Linked DNA regions of Stegostoma tigrinum. The protein of the gene in region 1 purifies or fractionates together with the protein of each later gene. This does not show direct contact. Links are inferred from orthologs where the notes say so. Each region holds a gene or a part of one and is shown in the gene's direction. Other genes may lie near its edges.

Region 1 (6,989 bases):
TCTCTCTCCAACGGCTCTTTGCAGCAGACCAGCGCAGTGAGTGTCCACACGGTCTGACCACCAGCTGCTGCCGCGCTCCACACTGGGACTGGGCCATTGCCACCGGGCTCCACACTGGGACTGGGTCACTGCCACCGGGCTCCACACTGGGACTGGGTCACTGCCACCGGGCTCCACACTGGGACTGGGTCACTGCTACCGGGCTCCACACTGGGACTGGGTCACTGCCACCGGGCTCCACACTGGGACTGGGTCACTGCTACCTGGCTCCACACTGGGACTGGGTCACTGCCACCGGGCTCCACACTGGGACTGGGCCATTGCCACCGGGCTCCACACTGGGACTGGGTCACTGCCACCGGGCTCCACACTGGGACTGGGTCACTGCTACCTGGCTCCACACTGGGACTGGGTCACTGCCACCGGGCTCCACACTGGGACTGGGTCACTGCTACCTGTCTCCACACTGGGACTGGGTCACTGCCACCGGGCTCCACACTGGGACTGGGTCACTGCTACCTGGCTCCACACTGGGACTGGGTCACTGCTACCTGTCTCCACACTGGGACTGGGTCACTGCTACCTGGCTCCACACTGGGACTGGGTCACTGCCACCGGGCTCCACACTGGGACTGGGTCACTGCCACCGGGCTCCACACTGGGACTGGGTCACTGCCACCGAGCTCCACACTGGGACTGGGTCACTGCTACCGGGCTCCACACTGGGACTGGGTCACTGCTACCTGTCTCCACACTGGGACTGGGTCACTGCTACCTGGCTCCTCACTGGGACTGGGTCACTGCCACCGGGCTCCACACTGGGGCTGGGTCACTGCCACCGGGCTCCACACTGGGACTGGGTCACTGCTACCTGGCTCCACACTGGGACTGGGTCACTGCCACCGGGCTCCACACTGGGACTGGGTCACTGCCACCGGGCTCCACACTGGGACTGGGTCACTGCCACCGAGCTCCACACTGGGACTGGGTCACTGCTACCGGGCTCCACACTGGGACTGGGTCACTGCTACCTGTCTCCACACTGGGACTGGGTCACTGCTACCTGGCTCCTCACTGGGACTGGGTCACTGCCACCGGGCTCCACACTGGGGCTGGGTCACTGCCACCGGGCTCCACACTGGGACTGGGTCACTGCTATCGGGCTCCACACTGGGACTGGGTCACTACCGCCATGTGTCACACTGGGACTGGGACACTGCTACCGTGCTCTGCACTGGGACTGGGTCACTGTCATCACCCTCCTCACTGGGACTGGGTCACTGCCACCGCCCTCCTCACTGGGACTGGGTCACTGCCACCGCGCTCCACACTGGGACTAGGTCACAGCCACCGACCTCCACACTGGGACTGGGTCACTGCCACCGCGCTCCACACTGGGACTAGGTCACAGCCACCGACCTCCACACTGGGACTGGGTCACTGCCACCGCCCTCCACACTGGGACTGGGTCACTGCCACCGCCCTCCTCACTGGGACTGGGTCACTGCCACCGACCTCCACACTGGGACTGGGTCACTGCCACCGACCTCCACACTGGGACTGGGTCACTGCCACCGCCCTCCTCACTGGGACTGGGTCACTGCCACCGGGCTCCACACTGGGACTGGGTCACTGCCACCGCCCTCCTCACTGGGACTGGGTCACTGCCACCGCCCTCCGCACTGGGACTGGGTCACTGCCACCGCCCTCCGCACTGTGACTAGGTCACAGCCACCAGGTTCCACACTGGGACTGGGTCACTGCCACCGCCCTCCTCACTGGGACTGGGTCACTGCCACCGAGCTCCACACTGGGACTGGGTCACTGCCACCGCCCTCCTCACTGGGACTGGGTCACTGCCACCGAGCTCCACACTGGGACTGGGTCACTGCCACCGCCCTCCTCACTGGGACTGGGTCACTGCCACCGAGCTCCACACTGGGACTGGGTCACTGCCACCGGGCTCCACACTGGGACTGGGTCACTGTCATCACCCTCCACACTGGGACTGGGTCACTGTCATCACCCTCCACACTGGGACTGGGTCACTGCCACCGGGCTCCACACTGGGACTGGGTCACTGCTACCGCCCTCCTCACTGGGACTGGGTCACTGCCACCGAGCTCCACACTGGGACTGGGTCACTGTCATCACCCTCCACACTGGGACTGGGTCACTGTCATCACCCTCCACACTGGGACTGGGTCACTGCCACCGGGCTCCACACTGGGACTGGGTCACTGCCACCACGCTCCAACTGGAAATGGATCACTGTCATCACCCTCCACCCTGAGACTGGGTCACTGCCACCCCCCTCCGCACTGAGACTGGGTCACTGCCACCCCCCTCCGCACTGAGACTGGGTCACTGCCACCCCCCTCCTCACTGGGACTGGGTCACTGCCACCCCCCTCCTCACTGAGACTGGGTCACTGCCACCACCCCCCTCACTGGGACTGGGCCTCTGTCACCGCGCTCCGCACTGGGACTGGGTCCAGTGGCAATTGTCACTGGAGTCTTAGTCCAGAGACCCTGGTAAAATTCAAAGCTGGTTTTAAGGCTTCCTAAGGCAGATGATGGAATTTGAATTCAATAAATATCCAAAATCAGGAGTCTAAAGATGACCCTGAATCCATTGTTGATAGCCAGGAAAAACCCATCTGGTTCAGTAAAGTCCTTTAGGGGAGGAAACTGCCATCTTTACCTCGTCTGGCCTACGCGTGACTCAGACAACACAGTAATATGGTTGACTCTGGGCAATTAGGGATGGGCAATAAATGTTGACCTAGCCAGTGATTAATGCATTTCATGAATGAATAAAACAAAATCTTCTTCATGTGAAATTATCTTACAATTGAGCTCACAGTACCAAAACAGGCACTCAACATAACTGGCTCATGTCAGGGGTTCTGCTTCAGAAGAACCAACCTTATCAAAATGATATTATGCACTATAGAAATATATATTCCAAGACAGACATCGATATATTTTTACACCTTAAATTGGTTTGGGATTGGTAAGTGGAATTGCTGTCAATGGTGAAGTCAGCTCACTTATTCCTTTTTATTATGTTATTATAGGAAGTTGAACTATAGATCAGCCATTACTTCCATAAACTGTAGCCTCATTCTTTCTTAAACCCAAATGCCTCTCTTAGATATTACCAGTTAAGTCTACCATGCTACTGAAATATAATGAATCCCCAGGTGGCTTAGTAGCAAGCACTGCTTCCTCACAGTACCAGGCACTTAGATTCAAGTCTCAGGCAATTGTCTATGTGGAGTTTGCATGTCCTCCCTGCTTCTGCCTGGTGGTCTGGTTTCCTCCCACAGTTCAGAGGTGTGCTGGCTAGGTGAAATGGCCATGCAGGTTTATGGGGATAGGATGGGTGGGATGTTCTTCAAAGGATTGGTGCAGACTCAATGAGCCAAATGGCCTCTTTCTGCACTGTAGTGGGTCTATGAAAACCCAGCCATCAAATGTTTTGGAAATTAGGATAACTTATCTTGGTAATTCCCTTCAGCCTCACAAACCTCGAATTGAGTAACCCCCGTCTTTTATTTCTGGCCTCTTTTGATTCCCACCAACAATTGCTCCACTACTGGGAACTGTACATTCAGCTGCTAATGGATTCCAAAACTCTGGAAGTCTCTTACTGTCTCCATTATATCTGGCTTAATCACCTCCTTATGGATCTTAAAACCCACGATCAAGCTTTTATTCATAGTCAGACTTCATTCGATAATGATCCTGAAAAACGCTTTGGGAGGTTTCATTGCGTAATAGGCGCTAGAGTATGGTATGTACAAGCTGTTGTTGTTGATAGTGATGAACTTGGGTTTGGCGGAGGAAGGAAGGACTGGAGCGGAACCTAGTTTCGGCGCTTTTGTTTCCTCGTCGGAGCTGGGCGGGTGGTACAGCCGGAAGTGTTGTCGGTGGTTGGAAACCGGTGGCGGCAGCAGCATGGCAACGGTGAGCGGGGACCGGGGGACGGCGAGACAGATCCTCGGGGGAGAGCCCTCACCACCCCCCCGGGGTAGGGGAGAGCATTCCGTTGTTATCCAAGCGGGAGCGGGCCCCCGTTAGAACGGGCAGAGATTCCCGGCGGAGGGAGCTGCGCGGCTGCAGAATGTTCGAGATCCTGGTGCCCGGGCTCTTACCGTCCCCGTCCCCACCGGCCCCCAAATTCCCCTCACACTCCCCTCCCCCCCCCCCCACCGCGCACACTCCCATCCCTCCCCCCCCCGCACACACTCCCTCCCCCCCCCCGCACACACTCCCCCCCCGCACACACTCCCCCCCCCCCCACACACTCCCCCCCCCCCACACACTCCCCCCCCGCACACACTCCCCCCCCCCACACGCACACTCCCCCCCCCGCCACACGCACACTCCCCCGCCACACGCACACTCCCCCCCACACACTCCCCCCCCCCCCACACACTCCCCCCCCCCACACACTCCCCCCCCCACACACTCTCCCCCCCCACACACTCTCCCCCCCCCACACACTCTCCCCCCCCCACACACTCTCCCCCCCCACACACTCTTCCCCCCCCCACACACTCTTCCCCCCCCCACACACTCCCTCCCCCCCACACACTCCCCCCCCCCCACACATCCCTCCCCCCCCACACACTCCCTCCCCCCCCACACACTCCCTCCCCCCCCACACACTCCCCCCCACACCCTCCCCCCCCCCACACCCTCCCCCCCCCCCACACCCCTCTCCCCCCCCCCCACACCCTCCCCCCCCCACACCCTCCCCCCCCCACACACTCCCCCCCCCACACACTCTCCCCCCCCACACACTCTCCCCCCCCACACACTCTCCCCCCCCCACACACTCTCCCCCCCCCCACACACTCTCTCCCCCCCCACACACTCTCCCCCCCCACACACTCTTCTCCCCCCCCACACACTCCCTCCCCCCCCACACACTCCCCCCCCACACACTCCCTCCCCCCCCACACACTCCCCCCACACCCTCCCCCCCCCACACCCCCCCCCCACACGCATGCACTCTCTCCCGCCCCCTCCCTGCAGGCACACACTCCCCCCCCGCACGCACGCACACTCCCCCCCCCCCCCCCGCACGCACGCACTCTCCCCCCCCCACGCACGCACACCCCCCCCCACACACTTCCCCCCCCCACACACTTCCCCCCCCCGCACGCACCCCCCCCGCACGCACTCCCCCCCCCCCACGCACACCCCCCCCCCCACGCACCCCCCCCCCACGCACTCCCCCCCCCCCACGCACTCCCCCCCCACGCACTCCCCCCCCACGCACTCCCACCCCCACGCACTCCCCCCCCCACGCACTCCCCCCCCACGCACTCCCCCCCCCCACACGCTCCCCCCCCCACACACGCTCCCCCCCCCACACACTCCCCCCCCCCCACACTCCCCCCCCCCACACTCCCCCCCCCACACTCCCCCCCCCACACTCCCCCCCCCCCCCACACTCCCCCCCCCCCACACTCCCCCCCCCCCCACACTCCCCCCCCCCCCACACTCCCCCCCCACACTCCCTCCCCCCCCACACTCCCTCCCCCCCCCACACTCCCCCCCCCACACTCCCCCCCCCCACACTCCCCCCACACTCCCCCCCCCCCACACTCCCCCCACACACTCCCCCCCCCCACACACACTCCCCCCCCACACACACTCCCCCCCCCACACACACTCCCCCCCCACACACACTCCCCCCCCCACACACACTCCCCCCCCACACACACTCCCCCCCCCACACACACTCCCCCCCCCCCACACACTCCCCCCCCCCCCACACACTCCCCCCCCCCACACTCCCCCCCCCCACACACTCCCCCCCCCCACACACTCCCCCCCCCCCCCCCACACACTCCCCCCCCCCCACACACTCTCCCCCCCCCCCACACACTCCCCCCCCCCACACACTCCCCCCCCCCCACACACTCCCCCCCTCCCCCCCCCACACTTGTCTGCATTAAACTCCATTTGTCACCTCTCAGCCCAGCTCTGCAGCTTATCCATGTCTCTCTGCAACCTACAGCATCCTTCGTCACTATCCACAACTCCACCGACCTTAGTGTCGTCTGCAAAATTTACTAACCCATCCTTCTATGCCCTCATCCAGGTCATTTATAAATATGACAAACACCAGTAGACTCAACACCGACCCTTCCAGTACACCACTAGTAACTGCTCTCCAGGATGAACATTTCCCATCAACTACCACCCCTCTGTCTTCTTTCAGCCAGCCAATTTCCGATCAGGTTTTCTAAATTAAACTAGTCCCATTTACCTGCATTTGGTCTACATCCCTCTAAACATTTCTTATCCAAACACCTGTTCAAATGTCTTTAAAATGTTGTAATTGTACATACTTTTACCACTTCCTCTGGCAGCTTGTTCCATTTACACACCACCCTCTGTGTGAAAAAGTTGCCCCTCGAGTCCCTTTTAAATCGTTCCTCTCATATTAAATCTATGCCCTCTAGTTTTGGACTCCCCTACGCTGGGGAAACTTGAAAACTGCTCTTTAGTTAGTGCTTGGGGAGCTGAAGACATACCTAAACTAATACAGTAGGCAGAGAGGCTCTTAAAGAAGCAACTCATCTGCAAGGATAACAGCTAGACACGTGGATGTCGGCAAAGCTTCAGAGTTTATTCAACTGTTGTCCCTTAACAAAAATATAAAAATGAAGAGAATTGATCCTTAGTTCACTTTGCTCTGGCCATAGGCTACCAGGCAGAAATGAGTCTTTCCACTTTATCTGATCAGTACAATTCTGTATTCAAATATGCTTTGAAGTTAATTTGATCCAGCAGCAAAGAAGAAAGTTTCAGAGGAAAGAACCAGGAAGAGTGGGAAATGTTAAAACCTTTGGCCTTTCAGGATGCTGCAAGGCACAGGACTGTAGTTGAGAGCGAAAAGCACGGCTGCATCATCAACGTCTCATTGTGTTCTGGCCAACAGAGCAGAAAGTGCAGTCCTGTGATGTT
Region 2 (7,761 bases), on another chromosome or scaffold:
AGCTTTCATATTCTTTGTTTTCATTAGACGAAGCAAATGTCTCTCTCTCATGCAGGTGTACCAGATTGTACTGCCAAATCGATTAACTTCCAATTCTGTAAGTCATGATGATGTTGTATAATGCATTGGCGAAACATGTCCAGAGCATTACTACGCCCCCAGTATCGGAACATAAGGAGACTTAAAACAATGCCAAGAGAAACAATAAGGCTGATCTCTGGTATAGCAATGTGCTTTATGAAGAATCATTTGATAAGGTAGTGTACTTCAGGCCATAAAAAAGACATGTAAGGAGAGATCTTATAAAGATTAATATTGATAGAAATTAACCGATTAGCCCCTCAAGCCTATTCCACAATCCAAATGCAACATTGTTAAGGTTCTTGATTACAAGAGAGCTGAATATATTTCATTCTCTCTTACCAGATTATGCAGATGGAGCAGCTTCATAAGGATTGTTGGTTTCCAAATGACGCATGAACTGCACACAAACTGTGCTGTTTCTGCCATATGACAACTCTGAGGAAAAGGAATTCAACTCCCTTAACATCCAGCTGGAAATCAATGCATTATACAATTCAATACCTGATATTCTGGCAGCAGGCATAATGCCTTCATTCATGCACCAAGCCACCTACATTTGAGACAACACTCAAAATCAGACAGAGGCAACTGGACAACAAGGGTTATCCTAGGTGACCACAGCTCAAGCTCTGGCATACAATCCACTCAAACGGGCACCACACACATTAAAAAAAGTCAAGAATGACAATTATCTAAGAATGTTATTTCTGCAACTGGCCAGAATGGCAAAAAGCACAGGTTGAAATATATGAAAAGTGACACAGTATTTCATTACAAGCAAGATAGTCAACAGGAAGAACAATTTGACAAGGATTGCCACTTAACCTCAAAATGAATGTAGAAAATGACTCAGAGATGATGGGAACTGCAGATGCTGGAGAATCCGAGATAACAAAATGTGGAGCTGGATGAACACAGCAGGCCAAGCGGCATCTTAGAAGCACAAAAGCTGACGTTTTGGGCCTAGACCCTTCATCAGAAAATGGGGAGGAGAAGAGGGTTCTGAAATAAATAAGGAGAGAGGGAGAGGTGGATCGAAGATGGATAGAGGAGAAGATAGGTGGAGAGGAAACAGACAAGTTAAAGAGGCCGGGATGGAGCCAGTAGAGGTGACTGTAGGTGGGGAGGTAGGGAGGAGATAGGTCAGTCCGGGGAGGACGGACAGGTCAAGGGGCCAGGATGAGGTTAGTCTGAGGAAATGGGGATACGGCTTGAGGTGGGGTGGGGGGGGGGGGGGGGGGGGGGTAGGTGAGAGGAAGACAGGTTAGGAAGGTAGAGATGAGCTGGGCTGGTTGTGGAAGGCTTTGTTATGCATATTTCAGAAGAAAGACTTGCAATGGAGTACAAGTTTGTTTCTTTAATCTATCTTGTGATTAGCTCTTCGCTGCTGATTTTTGAAATGGCTTACTGTAATGAGAATTTCCTCAACATACAATTGATTTAATCTTTAGGTCCTGTAATTTGTAAGATCTACTTTATGTTACATATTGCAATGATGTTGAACATTTAGAAGTATTTTCACATGTAGCATCTTAAAAATAATTAACTGTATGACACCTTGTGTATCTTATCCAATAATCTCCTTAAGTTATCTTTTCCAAATAGTGTGATAGAAAGTGATCCATGTGTGAACATTGCTGCACTTGGCCTGGCTTTGGGGAGAGGTACTTTGGCAGCGTCTGAAAAAGAATACTGGAAATCGCAACGAGTCAGTGGCATCGATGGGCCGACAGCAAGCTAATGTTTCAAGCCTAAATGACTCTTCATCAGAGCTGACATGAAATGTGGAGGGGGCAGCATTTATGCAACGGTGTGGGGGCAGAGTGCTGGGGGAGAAATGGTGCTGATAGTGCAAATTAAGTGATCAGAGACCATTCTCACATTCCAGTCACTTAATTTGCACTATCAACACCCTTTCTCCCTCAGCACTCCACTCCCATACCGTTGCATAAATGCTGCCCCCTCCACACTTCAGGTCAGCTCTGATGCGGAGTCGTCTAGACGCAAAACATTAGCTTCCTCTCTCTTCACGGATGCTGCCTGACCCATTGTGATTTCCAGCATTTTTTGTTTTCAGTAAAAATTCTAGCATCTGCAGTAATGTTCTATTCTGGCACAGTCTCCCCACCTGAAGGTCAAGGACAAGACACAATAGTTTCTCTCAACACTCATCCTAATCATCTCTGTAATGATGGACTCCATTTTCCAGAAGGTGTTCCAAGGGACACAAACTGAGACAAGAATCACTGGTGGAGCATCAGTTGGTGAATGACTATCTTTGGTCTGTTTGAAATTTATTGGTCTACCAATGAGTGTAAATAGATGTCAATGACTAAATGTTACGGGTTGGCACTTACCAAGATCTATGATTATGTGTTTGTGGGATGAACTAGAGATTGGTGCAGCCACAAATACTCACATGGATGATTTACACACTCGGTTCATTAATGTCTTTTAGAGAACAAAGTCTGCTGTCCTTATCTGGTCTGGTCTACACGTAATTGCAGGCTCATAGTAATGTAGTTGATTCTCAACAACACTCTGAACGGCCTTTTAAGTCGCTCACTTTCAAGGGCAAATAGGCACGACCAATAAGTGGGACATTGATGGGGAAGTCCACATCGAGTGAAAGAACAGAGAAGAAAAAGCCCTGCATTTTTGGAATCATCCTGAAACTTTACTTTTCAACCTTTGTCCTGGTCATTGGCTCCCCAGTATACCATTTATCCTACATTTATTGGCAGTGTGTGGGAAACTGTTTTGCCTCTTGCACAGTCCTTTTACCTTTGGTGCCTGAACCAGTACATGTTCTACCATCAGCCTGCCCAGCCACAAAGACGACCAAAACATGACTCACCAGTGCAGGAGGAGAGACATCCTTCTGCCTTGCTTTATGAAGGGTAGTCACATTTCAGAATTCAAATATCTTATTAAGAATGAGCTCCACGAGAATCAAGGTTGGACAGAACAGTGGGTGCTGAAACTGAGTGAATGGTGAAGATGTTGTATTAGGAAAAGGACTTCACTGAGCCTTTAAATATAACAGTGAAGAACATTTGAGTTGCATTATCTGAAGTGTGGCAATCTATTCAGACTGCAACTCCACACCTGTCTTCCTACTTTTCCCAAGGTACTCCACATTTCTGACCCGGATTTACAAATTGGTCCATTTGACAAATGTGCCATGTAAACAATCTGGAGTCTTCCATCATAGCGTGGGATCAGGGCTGCAGATCAAACCACATCCCCTATTTACTTTTGTAATTCAGAGTTTAAAGGTCCCAAAGCATTTGGGCAAAGTACAGAGAAAAAGTGAGTCTATAAGTTAGGTGGGTGATAGAGTAGGATGGCAGGTGGGTGAAGGGCTAGGATGACAGAACGTTAGGTAAGGGAATCAAGTGGTGAAGGTGTTGGGTCAGAGGAGTGTTAGTTGGGGTCAGTTCTGGTCTGACTCCAATTCAGAGTTGGGACCTTTTTGCAGCTTTCCATATATTAGGTTAATTGCTCCTTCTAAGTTGGGACTTATGAACACTTTCAACATGCATCTTTCAAGGCATGATGCTACAATGACTACTAAATCCAGACATTTTTAAAAACTTTCATGATGTGAGTGTGTTATGGCAAAGCCAGAACTTGTTCCCCGTCCTTATCTGCTCTTGAATTCAGGGCTTTACTAGGCCATTTCAGAGACAGTTGAGAATCAACTGTCATTCTATGTGTCTAGATACGCATTGACTACATACATCAGGTGAGGAGGGTAAAGAGATTTTCTCTCCTAATGACTATTTATGAACCAGATATTTTAAAAAGAAAAGCCAATTATTTTACAGTCAATATTTCTGAGCCTAAATTTCAATTTAAACTTTCCCAGCTATCTGCCAAGCTTGGACCAGTATCTGCCCATTCACCACCATCACCTGCTCCACTCACAAGGGGGCAAGATTGCTGTCTAAAGGCCTCTATGGTATACAAAGGGGCTAGAACTTTGCAAATAACTCGTCGTGTTTGACATGAAATATAGATATCTTTAAATCAACCTGTTCAGGCACCTGGAGCAGGTGGGACTGTCTAATGATCTGAAGGTAGGGTTACACTTACTGCTGCTGTGGATGAAAGACCGCGTCCATTCACTGCTGCAATTACCTAGCGGAGGCTAATTTTGATTCATCAACCTCCGGTTTATGTGCGTGGCATGTTTTTGATGCTCGACTCTATTCCTACCATTACGCTGCTGTCATTTTGAACTGTACCTCAGAGTACTATGCAGACGCTGAAAGAAAACAAACTGCTCCTTATGTAATATTAGAATGGAAATGTTAACTTATTTTCCTTCAGAAATTCTAAGATTAATGCCTATGGGAGAATGATGAGGCGGAGGGAACATTATTCCTGAAAACAGGAGTTTCAGCAGAACAAGGATTATGTGCAGAAAGGCTCAATCACTGGTCATGACCATACAGCCTGATTTTTTGCTCCCACCTTTCATTTAAACATGGAACCACATTTCCTTTTACTAAAGTCTGACAGTATAATCGGAGAGTTACTTGAAGACATTTCTAGCGGAGTTATTTCTGTCTTTAGAGTCAGGCGGCTGCGCCGGACAAAGTGGGGGTCCTTCCTGAGTGAGTGTCGCGCGGTTGTCATGCAGTCGCGCTCCTTCGTCTGAGCGAGGTGGAGGCCGAGACAGAGCGGGATAAAACCCGGAGTCGAATGTAAGTCTAGCTGCTGTCTTCCCTCATCATCGAGGCTGCTACGGTTTGATAGAAACTTCCTCCTCGCCGTCTTCCAAAATGGCCCTCCGCCTCTCTCTCTCTCTCTCTCTTTCTCTCCCAACCACCAATCCCAGCATCCAGTAACACCGAGGGGCCTGGAACCTACATGTTGTAAATATTTTCCTTATCAACTTCCTTATCAGGGACGTTATTACACGGCTCTGGAGCAGCGGGGACTTGAAAGTGAGCCTCTTGCCTCAGAGGTTGTGACATTACCAATACACCACAGGAACCCCTAGTGATTAAGCAGTTCTGCACAAGCCATTATTACTTTAGATCATCATAGATCATCGAATCCTTATAGTATGGAAACAAGCCCTTCGACCCAACAAGTCCACACCGAGCCTCAGAGCATCCCACCCAGACCTGTAACCCACCTAACCTACACATCCCTGAACACTGGGCAATTTAGCATGGCCAATCCGCCCTAACCTGCACATCTTTGGACTGTGGGAGGAAACCAGAACACCAGAGGCAACCCAAGCAGACATGGGGAGAATGTACAAACTCCACACGGACAGTTGCCCAAGGATGGAAAGCTGTGAGGCAGCAGTGCTAACCACTGAGCCACTACAACTTTTGTGTTGCAGATGTCAGTCCTTCTCCAATCCCAGCACCCTTTCACACTAAACCCCTACCTTACTGAAGACAACTGTAGTATAATTCTTCAGTAATCCATGTCACATCATTCAGGATATGTACAAAATATAGATATTTTCTAATTAACTTATTCAGAGAAGTTACTACTCATCTCTGGAGTAGGTGAGATTTGAACCCAGGCCTTCCTGGGTAGGGAGACTCCCATTGCACCACAAGAGTCCCTGCCTCCCCTGTATAAACTACCCTGTTCAATGTTCGTGGGGAAAGAGGAACAAAAAAGGTCTTGATGAAGGCTTTGTATTTCTTTGCGAAATCCTTGCTTTATTTATCGAGGTCTACATTATAAAAGCCAAAGGAGTTATGGAAAACCTATCTAATTGGGCCATAGTGAAGGGGTTTTGTGTGCTTTCAGTTTGGAGCACTACACTTTAGAAGACCTTGAAAAGGATGTAGAAGAAACTCACCAATTTAGTTTTGAAGAAAAACAATGTGTTGAGGAAGCTGTGATAGCATCTCTGGGAAGAATAATTGTGTAATATGTAACTTTATTTGGTTCACAAAGAAAATTCATATCAGGCTTGAAATGTTAGCTTTCCTTCTTTTTGCATTGATACTGCCAAATCTGCTGAATTTCTCCAACACTTTTTCTGCTTTTATTTCAACCCTTCAAAGTCTGGCGTATTTTGCTTTTACACTGATGAAGGATGGATGTTAATTGGACACAAGAAACGGGGCTTATTTTCCTTAGAGCCCAGAAAATTAAGAGGAGATAATAAGAAACTGTTTTCAGAGGCAGAGGGTGAATGACCAAGGACATAGATATAATATTAGCAAAAAAGACTTGAGGAAACACATTTAAAAAGCAAGTTGTTGTGATCTGAAATATGAGTGTGCTGGAAGCAGACTCAATAATAACTTTAAAAATTAGATTGTAGAAACAAGGCTATGGGGCAAAATGGGATGATGAACATTCTACCAAAGAACCAGCACAAGCATGATGGGTGAAATAGTCTTTTTTATGTACTGTTTCAGTGCATGAAAGAAAGAATAATTTATATATATATCAGCAAGGCGGCTTAACCCGAGACTCTACAACTGTAGTGTCTCCCACCCGCCCTCCTCCTCTAACCTAGTTAATAAGGTAAGGTTCATTCTAAACTTTCTCTATTGAACATAAGTTTGTTATTAATTTGTTATTATTACTTGAAGTGAGCTTTCTGCTTTAGTATTGAGTGGGTGTTCAGATAAGTGGGGTATGGATGCTAGGGCAGTTGCTTGCTCCTCTGCAAAATGTGGCAGTTGGGAGATGTGGCACACGTCTCCGCTGGCTACATTTGCGGGAAGTGCACCCAGCTACAGCTCCTTGAAAACCGTGTTAGGGAAATGGAGCTGGAGCTGGATGAACTACGGATCATTCGGGAGGCAGAGGGGGTAATTGAGAGGAGTTATCGGGAGTTGGTCACTCCTAAGGCTCAGGACGAGGATAGATGGGTTACAGTTAGGGGGAGGAAAGGGGACAGACAGACAGTGCAGAGATCCCCTGTGGGCATTCCCCTCAGCAATAAGTATACCGTTTTGGATACTGCTGGGGGGGTTGACCTACCAGAGGAAAGCCATAGTAGTCAGTTCTCTCGCACTGAGCCTGACACTGTGGCAAAGAAGGGAAGGGGGCAGAATAGAAAAGTACTCGTGGTAGGGGACTCGATAGTTAGGGGAATCGACAGGAGATTTTGTGGGCAAGATCGGGATTCCCGGAAGGTATGTTGCCTCCCTGGTGCCAGGGTCCGGGACGTCTCCGATCGGGTGTATAAAGTTCTGAAAGGGGAGGGTGAACAGCCAGAAATCGTGTTACATATTGGCACAAATGATATAACCAGAAATAGGTTTGAGGATATAAAAAGTGATTTCAGGGAGTTAGGATGGAAGCTGCAGAGCAGGACGAACAGAGTAGTGTTCTCTGGTTTACTACCGGTGCCACGAGATAGCGAGGTGAGGAACAGGGAGCGGGCGCAGCTGAACACGTGGCTACGCAGCTGGTGTAGGAGGGAGGGCTTCAGATATGTTGATAATTGGGATGCCTTCTGGGGAAGGTGGGACCTGTACAAGAAGGACGGGTTGCATCTGAACTGGAAGGGGACCAATGTCCTGGGTGGAAGGTTTGCTCGAGTAGTTCGAGAGGGTTTAAACTAGTATGGCAGGGGGGTGGGAACCTGAGCTGTATACCAGAGGTGAGCGTTGATGCAGGTGAGGCAGTAGCCAGAGGTAGACCAGCTAGTGGGAAGGATTTTCCTGGGAAGGAACCAAG
Region 3 (6,917 bases), on another chromosome or scaffold:
TCAACCACATTGCTGTCGGTCTAGAGTCACATGTAGGCCATAGTAGGTAAGGATGACAGTTTCCTTCCCAAAAGGACATTAGTGAACCAGATGGGCTTTTCCAACCATTGACAAGATTTTCATGATCATCACTGGACTGTTGATTCCATCTGCTATGGAAGAATTTAAACTCGGGTCCCAAAATGTTGCCTGGGTCTCTGGATTAATAGTCTAGTGCCATTCTGCCCCCATTATATATTTATAACGCACCTCTCAAACGGTGAAACACCTCAATGTACTTTACAGGCACAATACAGGAAAAAGATTTTGCAGCAAGTAATGTAAATCCTAAGAACATGAGAATTATAATTGGCAGTAGGCCATTCAGCCCAGTAAATCTATACCACCATTCAATATGATCATGGCTCAGCTGATTGCAGCCTTTGACAAGATGACAAAAAGATTGCCAAAAAGGTAGGCTTTTTGAGGAGCATTTTGAAGAAAAGAAAAAGGAGAAGAGAGGTAGAGGGTTTCAAGGAAGGATTTCAGAGTTTAGGACATTTGCAGATGAAGGCACAGCTACCCATGGTGATACGTTTAAATTTGGTATTCTCAAGAGGTCACAATATCAATGAAATCTGTACCATAAGGCACTGACACATATTATATAGTGAGGATGCTGCAATCAAAAGACTTAAATTCATGTTTCGGGGCAGGAAGTATCAAGTACTGGTTGACAGAAGTACTCTGGCTTGCATGTTACATGTGTTGAGTTGCAGGTCTTAATAATGCTTCAATTGGGCAGTAACACATAAGATCTAAGTAATTCCATATGAAATTAAGTACCAGAGAGCTAGTTATATTGTGCAGATATCAACTGCCTTCTAATGCCTGGAAATTAAGTGGTATTGGCAATAATCAGCAAATAGTTATTGAGGACATGCAAAAAACAGGTGAGAAAAAAAAGGACAGAAAAAAGGGTTACAAAAATGACTTTAAGAAAAGGTACAATATATGTACCACAGGATTCCAGAATGTCATCCAACCTGTTAAACTTATTTGAGTTTGTATCACAATCCCATATGCTGCCACTGGCGAAGGAGCAGTGCTCCAAAAGTTTGTGATTGCAAATAAACTTGTTGAACTAAACTATAAGTTGGTGTCATGCGACTTTTGACTTTGTCCACCCCAGTCCAATACGCATATTGACATCTTCCAATGGCGAGCTGTGTTCGATTGAGGTCATGCCTCAGATAAAGATGCTGCTGGGTCACAGGATCAGGCAGTCACTCCCATGATATCATGTTTGAGTTGAATTACAGCAAAATAAAGCTCAACCAACCAATCAGTGAGTGGCTGCACAATGACACTCAAATGTGATGGGTACTAATAGATGATTCTGTTTATGAAATCAGACAGTGGTTACCTAGACAATGATTAACTATCAAAGTATACAGTTAAATAAAATATGTGAAAATGCTGGGAATATATCTCAACGTCAGGCAGCTGTTCTTTTTATTTGTTCAACAGCACATGTGGGAGCCATTGGTTACATCAGCATATGTTGCCCATCCATAATTGCCATGGAAAAACTGAGAGTGTGCTGCCCTCATGAGCTCCTGCTGTTCTCATGGTGTAGGGATATAAACATAAGAAGGAACAAGAGTAGGCCACTTGGCCCGTTGAGCCTGTTCCCCCATTCAATAAGATCATGGCTGATCTGATTTTAACCACAACTCTTCGTTCCCGCATATCCCATCGATAATTTTGAACCCCTCAGGAATCAAGAATCTGTCTACTTCTGCTTTAAAAATATTTAAAGATTCTGCATCCACTGTGTTTTGAGGAAGGGAATTCCAAAGATTCTCAATCCTCGGGGAGAATTTTTTCCATATCACTGATTTAAAGGGGTGACCATTCACTTTTAAACTGTGACCTCTTATTCTAGGTTCCCTTACAAGAGATTCACATGATATCCACCTGCTCAAGGCCCCTCAGAAGGATCTTCTGTGCTTCAATGAAGTCCCTTTGACTCTTCTAAACTCCTGACAACACAGGCCTAACCTTTCCTCATAAGGCTATCTGTTCATTCCAGTTATTAGTCGAGTAAATCTTTCCTGCACAGTTTCCAATACATTAACATCCTTCTGTAAGTATGTTGACCAGTACTTATACCATAATTTGGATGCAGTCTCACTAAAGTCCTCTATAACTGAAACATAACCTCCCTAATGTTGCATTAAATTTCCCTCAAAATAAAACATAATATTCTATTAGTTTTCCTAACCATTTGCTGTACCTTTGTACCAACCCTCCTTGATTCATGCACAAGCACGCAGACCTCTCTGCATCTCAGAGCGGTGCAACCTCTCACCAGTTAGATAATATGCATTTTTTTTGCTGTTTCTGCCAAAATGGATAATTTCCCACTTTGCCACATTATACTCGTTACCAGTTCTTTTGTCCACTCACTTAACCTATCTGTATTGCTTTGTAAGATCACCACAGTACATGCTACACAACCGTGACACAATTTTGACTGCTGTATTCTTCATTTACTACACTTCACAAGTATTTCATTGACTGATTTTTAAAAATGTCTTGAGCATAAGAACCTTCTGAATGTAAAAATATAATTGCATATTATATGTAACACTTTTCGCTAATAATACGCCAGATGCCGTCTTCACCAATAAGAATTACAAATCTCACATAATTCAAGGCTTAAATACTTCATTTGGGGTTCCATTTCATGGATAGTGTGGTTACTTTACATTTGCACAGCTTGAAGCTAACGTTTATAAATAAATGATGCAGTTCCGAAGGTTATAAATCATAATTGATTTAGCTTTGTTTTCTTTTTAGATTGAGCCAGGAAGATTCATGTGGGAAGTAAGTGGGAATAGAAAAATTACTTTTGCAAATAAAAGACCACATTGTTCTAGCCTTATTTTTAGGATCGGTTTTGCTTTCGGTAATCCAACCAGGCTGCGACTTAAGTATTTTTGCACACTGGAATACTTTTTCCACTAATGCTGCAGCATTTTTCCTTTGTGTGGGATGCCTAGAAGTGAACTTTGTACATCTCTACTTCCGTGAATTTCAATGAATTTTGGGTGAGTTCATTACTTTTTGAAATGCTTAACTCGTACGTGTTACAACCAAAATAACTCTTGAGGCTCGCTCTCCTCCCCGACGAAAGAAAATGGTGCGGGTTTCTTTTTATCCCCACGCTTCGTCTTTTGTGTTTGCAAAACTCGGGTCTTTGAAGTTAACTGTTTACTTTAGAAAGTTAAAAACTCAATCGCGAAGAATGCAAGTTTGGTGGGAAAGGGAGGGGAGAAATTTATTGCAATTCTGGCCCCAATGCAGAAACGTATATGAAATTCACGAACATAAAAGTCCAAATAAATAAAAGGATGTTATGCATATGGTGGAAAGTCTCATTGCAGCTGCAAAAATAAAGTTGCTTCGCTGAGCTGCTACTCGCTGCCTCTGTGGTTCCAGCGATCCTTGACCACAAGGTGTTGTGGCTACGGCACCTAGCCAGTATCCTTCCGCGACGTTCCGGGCCTGGGTAAGGGAGCAGTAGAAAAGAAATGGGGGTGGGCATAGGCAAAAATAGGTTTTATCAACAGTCACAAATCAGATCAAACATAACCCAACTCTAGACTGTGCTGTAAAATTTTAAGTTTGACATAGGTTTATGCGTTGTCTGCGTGTGATAAAGGCCGGAGAAGGGTTAAGTTATTGTTATTTTAATTATAAACACCCCCCTTTTCACCTTCCTTCTGCCAGGTGTGGGCTGGAAAATTACGCACTACATTCCGCAGGCGGAGGGGCACGCACCGTGTCGCTGCCACTTTATAAAGAGACGTTGCTGCCGGTCGCCATTTTGATTGGAGTCGCTGGCAGCGGCGGTTGTTGGAAAGCGGGAGACGGAGGAGGAGGAGTGTAAGAGAGTGAGTGTATGTGAAAGGGAAAAGTGGGGCGTGGGAGAGAGAGATGGTGGTGGGCAGAGCTGATAGCGGGGCGACCCGGAGGAAGAGCGAAGACATTTATTAAAAATACGTAAAGAAGTTAAGAGTTCACCGTCACCCCCGCGATCACTCTCGAAGCCGCGGAGAGGAGTTGGAGTGGCCGCTGCTTCCCGACTTTAGAGGTGCCCGTCCTTCAGCGACGGTGGGTGAGAAAGAGCCCGGCCTTCTCCGGCCCTTCCCTTGGGAGAGGGGGTGGATTAGAGGTTGTTCTCGAGGTGGTGAGTGAGGAGGGACTGAGTTTCCAGATCCTCCCGCTTTCAGAATTAAAAGATCGAAAAGTCGATTAACTCCCGAACAACGTGGCATCGGGGGAAGGGCGGGTGTTTATTATCAGGAGAAAAGGGGGTTGGAGTTTACCCCAGAGAGGGGGCAGGAGAAAGAGGGGTTTAAAACCGTGGGTGATTGGGAGGGGAGGGGGGGCTAGAGAGAGAGAGAGGAGGGTGTATCTTCTCCCCCGGAGGGAGAGCAGAGGGGAGCTTCCAACCCTCTGGGGGAGGGGGGGCACCTTTACCCTCATGGGGGGGAGAGAACCCTCAGAACTGGAAGGAATTTCTCCCCCCCCCCCAGAAAGGGGGCAACTGGAGAGGGCTTTACCCCAAATCGGGGGAGGGGATGGGGGTTCAACTGGAGAGTGGAGACAAGTTAGGTGTGAGGATGCTTAACCTGTTGGAGGAAGAATTGAAAAGGTGGTCTTTAATCTGAGGGGCTTAAGTAGGGAAAATTTACCCCAGTAGGGGGCAGAAGTGAGATGGAGGTTGTTTACCCTGAGGGGGTGGGAGACAGTTTGTAACCATGGAGCTTTGTGCTAATTACTGTGGGAAGGGGCAGAAATTGTGTTCCCGGGCTGGGGGAAAGAGAGCGAGAGAGATACGATCGTTACCCTGAATGTGTTTTTAAATCCCAACGTGGATGTGGTGGGATGGGTTTCTACTTTGGTGGAGGGCAGGTGTTTGCATCTCCAGTCTGGACAGGGAGATGGGAGGGTGTTCCTACTTGGCTTAAGAAGTTTGGAAGCAGAGGGGCCAGTGTTTTCCCGGCTTCATGGCTACAAGACTGGGCTACAAAGGTTGTAGAGTTAACTCTTTACCACAGGTTGTAAAAGTGCATCTGTAAATTATAGGAGTGTGGGAAAGTGAATGCCTTAACTGGGTGAAATTACAAAGTGGGTTTCCATTGGTGAAGTGATTTTGTTTTCTAAATTGGCAGCATGCAGCTTAACACCCAAACTTTGAGTGTGCAAGTATATGCTGAGATGGTTGAGAAATTGCCTGGAATCCTGAGCTGTATTTGGTGAAAATTGATGAAATGGGACAAAACTTGCTCATTAACAACCAAATGAGTAGGTGACTCATACAGCAGTCTGGGATTTGCATTTTGAGATTTTTGCTGATAAATGCTTTATCATAGGCAAATAGATCTGTTTTTACACTAGTATGTAATTTTTAAGCAGTGGATTATCTATTAACCTCAATGAGGAAAGGCGCATACATGCACAAATTCATTTTGATAAATTTAGAGCAAGTTTAAACTATCTATTTTCTTCCAGTGTCTTGTTGTGATATGGGCTTTTGCTGCATGTTTCATGTTCTGAGGATACCATTTGCAGAGTACATAAGTTTAGTGTGGCCACGACTGTGACAATTGTGGGTTATCTTTCTAGTCTCTTTCCTACATTCTGCTTCTGTGAATTGTTGATTTACATGTCAGATCTGTTGTCTGCATGTTGTGTGTATGTAAATCTCAAATCTTCGTATCGATAGTTACACATCTGTATTCATTGTAGTTGGTTTCTGAGTATTTTCATGGTTTGCAAGTTTGTTTTCCCTCTGTACAGTGCATTAATTACAGTTTCAAATGAAAGTTGGGATTTCATGTAGAAGCAGGAATCTTGTACTGTTGGTAGACTTGGATGTTAAGTTGAGGCACTTCCATTTTGAGTGGAAAGAGAAACATGATGGTGTAGTATCAAACAATTTGTTTGAAATTTCATTATGTATTTAACTTAGAAAATAAAATGTGAAGTGTTTAGGACCAACTGGTTTTTCCTATGTGACTGACCAGATGTTTTTAGCACACGATAATATGTATTGACAGTAGTGTACATCTTCTGGGAAAATGGATACAAAGTCAGAATTCCATCTCTGAAATCCAGTTCTAGTATCTCATAATAAGAACAAAATTTTCAGTAGTCACAAAAGATCTGTGGTCACGATTTGAGGTTTGTATTGCAATACATGCTTTGCATTTTAAACTATTGGCTAAACTTAAAGGCTGTTCTGTTTATTTATGGGCTTCATGTATTTTGGTGTCATTGGACTTGGTGACTTGTAACTGCTTTATTTTATACTATTATGAGCATGACAATTCATTCAGTGGATGTTGCATTCCAATTACTGATTTCTTTTATTGCTGTCTGATTATGAAATTGAGAAAGCTGTTGAAAATGACTTTTTTTTGAAAAATTAGTGTTCTCATAGTTTCACCAGAAGTGGTGATGCTGCATGAATTTCATTGTTCTGGTATATGTTGTACATTTTATTGCAGCTGTTTTGTTTGCACTAAACAGTGCAGCAGAAAGAAATTTAAAGATGTTAAGTTAGCATTTGTATTTTGATAATTATACCCTTTATCTCTCCTTTCGTGAACATTGTGGCTCCAGTTGGACTGTGGTTTGAAGGCTGCTGGCCACCAATCATCACAGTACTGCACTGGATTACTCTATAATTGTAAACAATAGGGGGAGCAGAGAAGGATTTATCAGTTGCACTAACCCCTCCCTGTGCATATGAAAAGCAAGCTGGAGTCCTCGACTGCCCTGTTTTGCTTCCTTGTGAATTGTGCTGAGTGTCACTTAAGTGGTATGCTGTTGAGTGTGGTCTTGTACTACATATGTAGTGT

Evidence for each region. The genes of interacting proteins can lie anywhere in the genome.
Region 2: the proteins of ruvbl2 (region 1) and eftud2 purify together in Homo sapiens (affinity purification with mass spectrometry; 5 studies listed by BioGRID and IntAct, with this or other methods). This does not show direct contact. The link is inferred for Stegostoma tigrinum from reciprocal best matches to the Homo sapiens genes RUVBL2 and EFTUD2.
Region 3: the proteins of ruvbl2 (region 1) and ctnnb1 purify together in Homo sapiens (affinity purification with mass spectrometry; 5 studies listed by BioGRID, with this or other methods). This does not show direct contact. The link is inferred for Stegostoma tigrinum from reciprocal best matches to the Homo sapiens genes RUVBL2 and CTNNB1.

Annotation. Positions count from the first base shown.
Region 1 is NC_081391.1:18,535,665-18,542,653, forward strand, and holds the start of ruvbl2 (ruvB-like 2), read left to right. Parts: upstream 1-3,879; 5' UTR 3,880-3,962; coding exon 3,963-3,971; intron 3,972-6,989. UniProt on the Homo sapiens protein: Possesses single-stranded DNA-stimulated ATPase and ATP-dependent DNA helicase (5' to 3') activity; hexamerization is thought to be critical for ATP hydrolysis and adjacent subunits in the ring-like structure contribute to the ATPase activity.
Region 2 is NC_081384.1:27,961,082-27,968,842, forward strand, and holds the start of eftud2 (116 kDa U5 small nuclear ribonucleoprotein component), read left to right. Parts: upstream 1-4,674; 5' UTR 4,675-4,796; intron 4,797-7,761. UniProt on the Homo sapiens protein: Required for pre-mRNA splicing as component of the spliceosome, including pre-catalytic, catalytic and post-catalytic spliceosomal complexes. Component of the U5 snRNP and the U4/U6-U5 tri-snRNP complex, a building block of the spliceosome.
Region 3 is NC_081355.1:8,431,286-8,438,202, forward strand, and holds the start of ctnnb1 (catenin beta-1), read left to right. Parts: upstream 1-3,830; 5' UTR 3,831-3,941; exon of another isoform or gene 3,942-3,947; intron 3,948-4,031; exon of another isoform or gene 4,032-4,161; intron 4,162-6,917. UniProt on the Homo sapiens protein: Key downstream component of the canonical Wnt signaling pathway.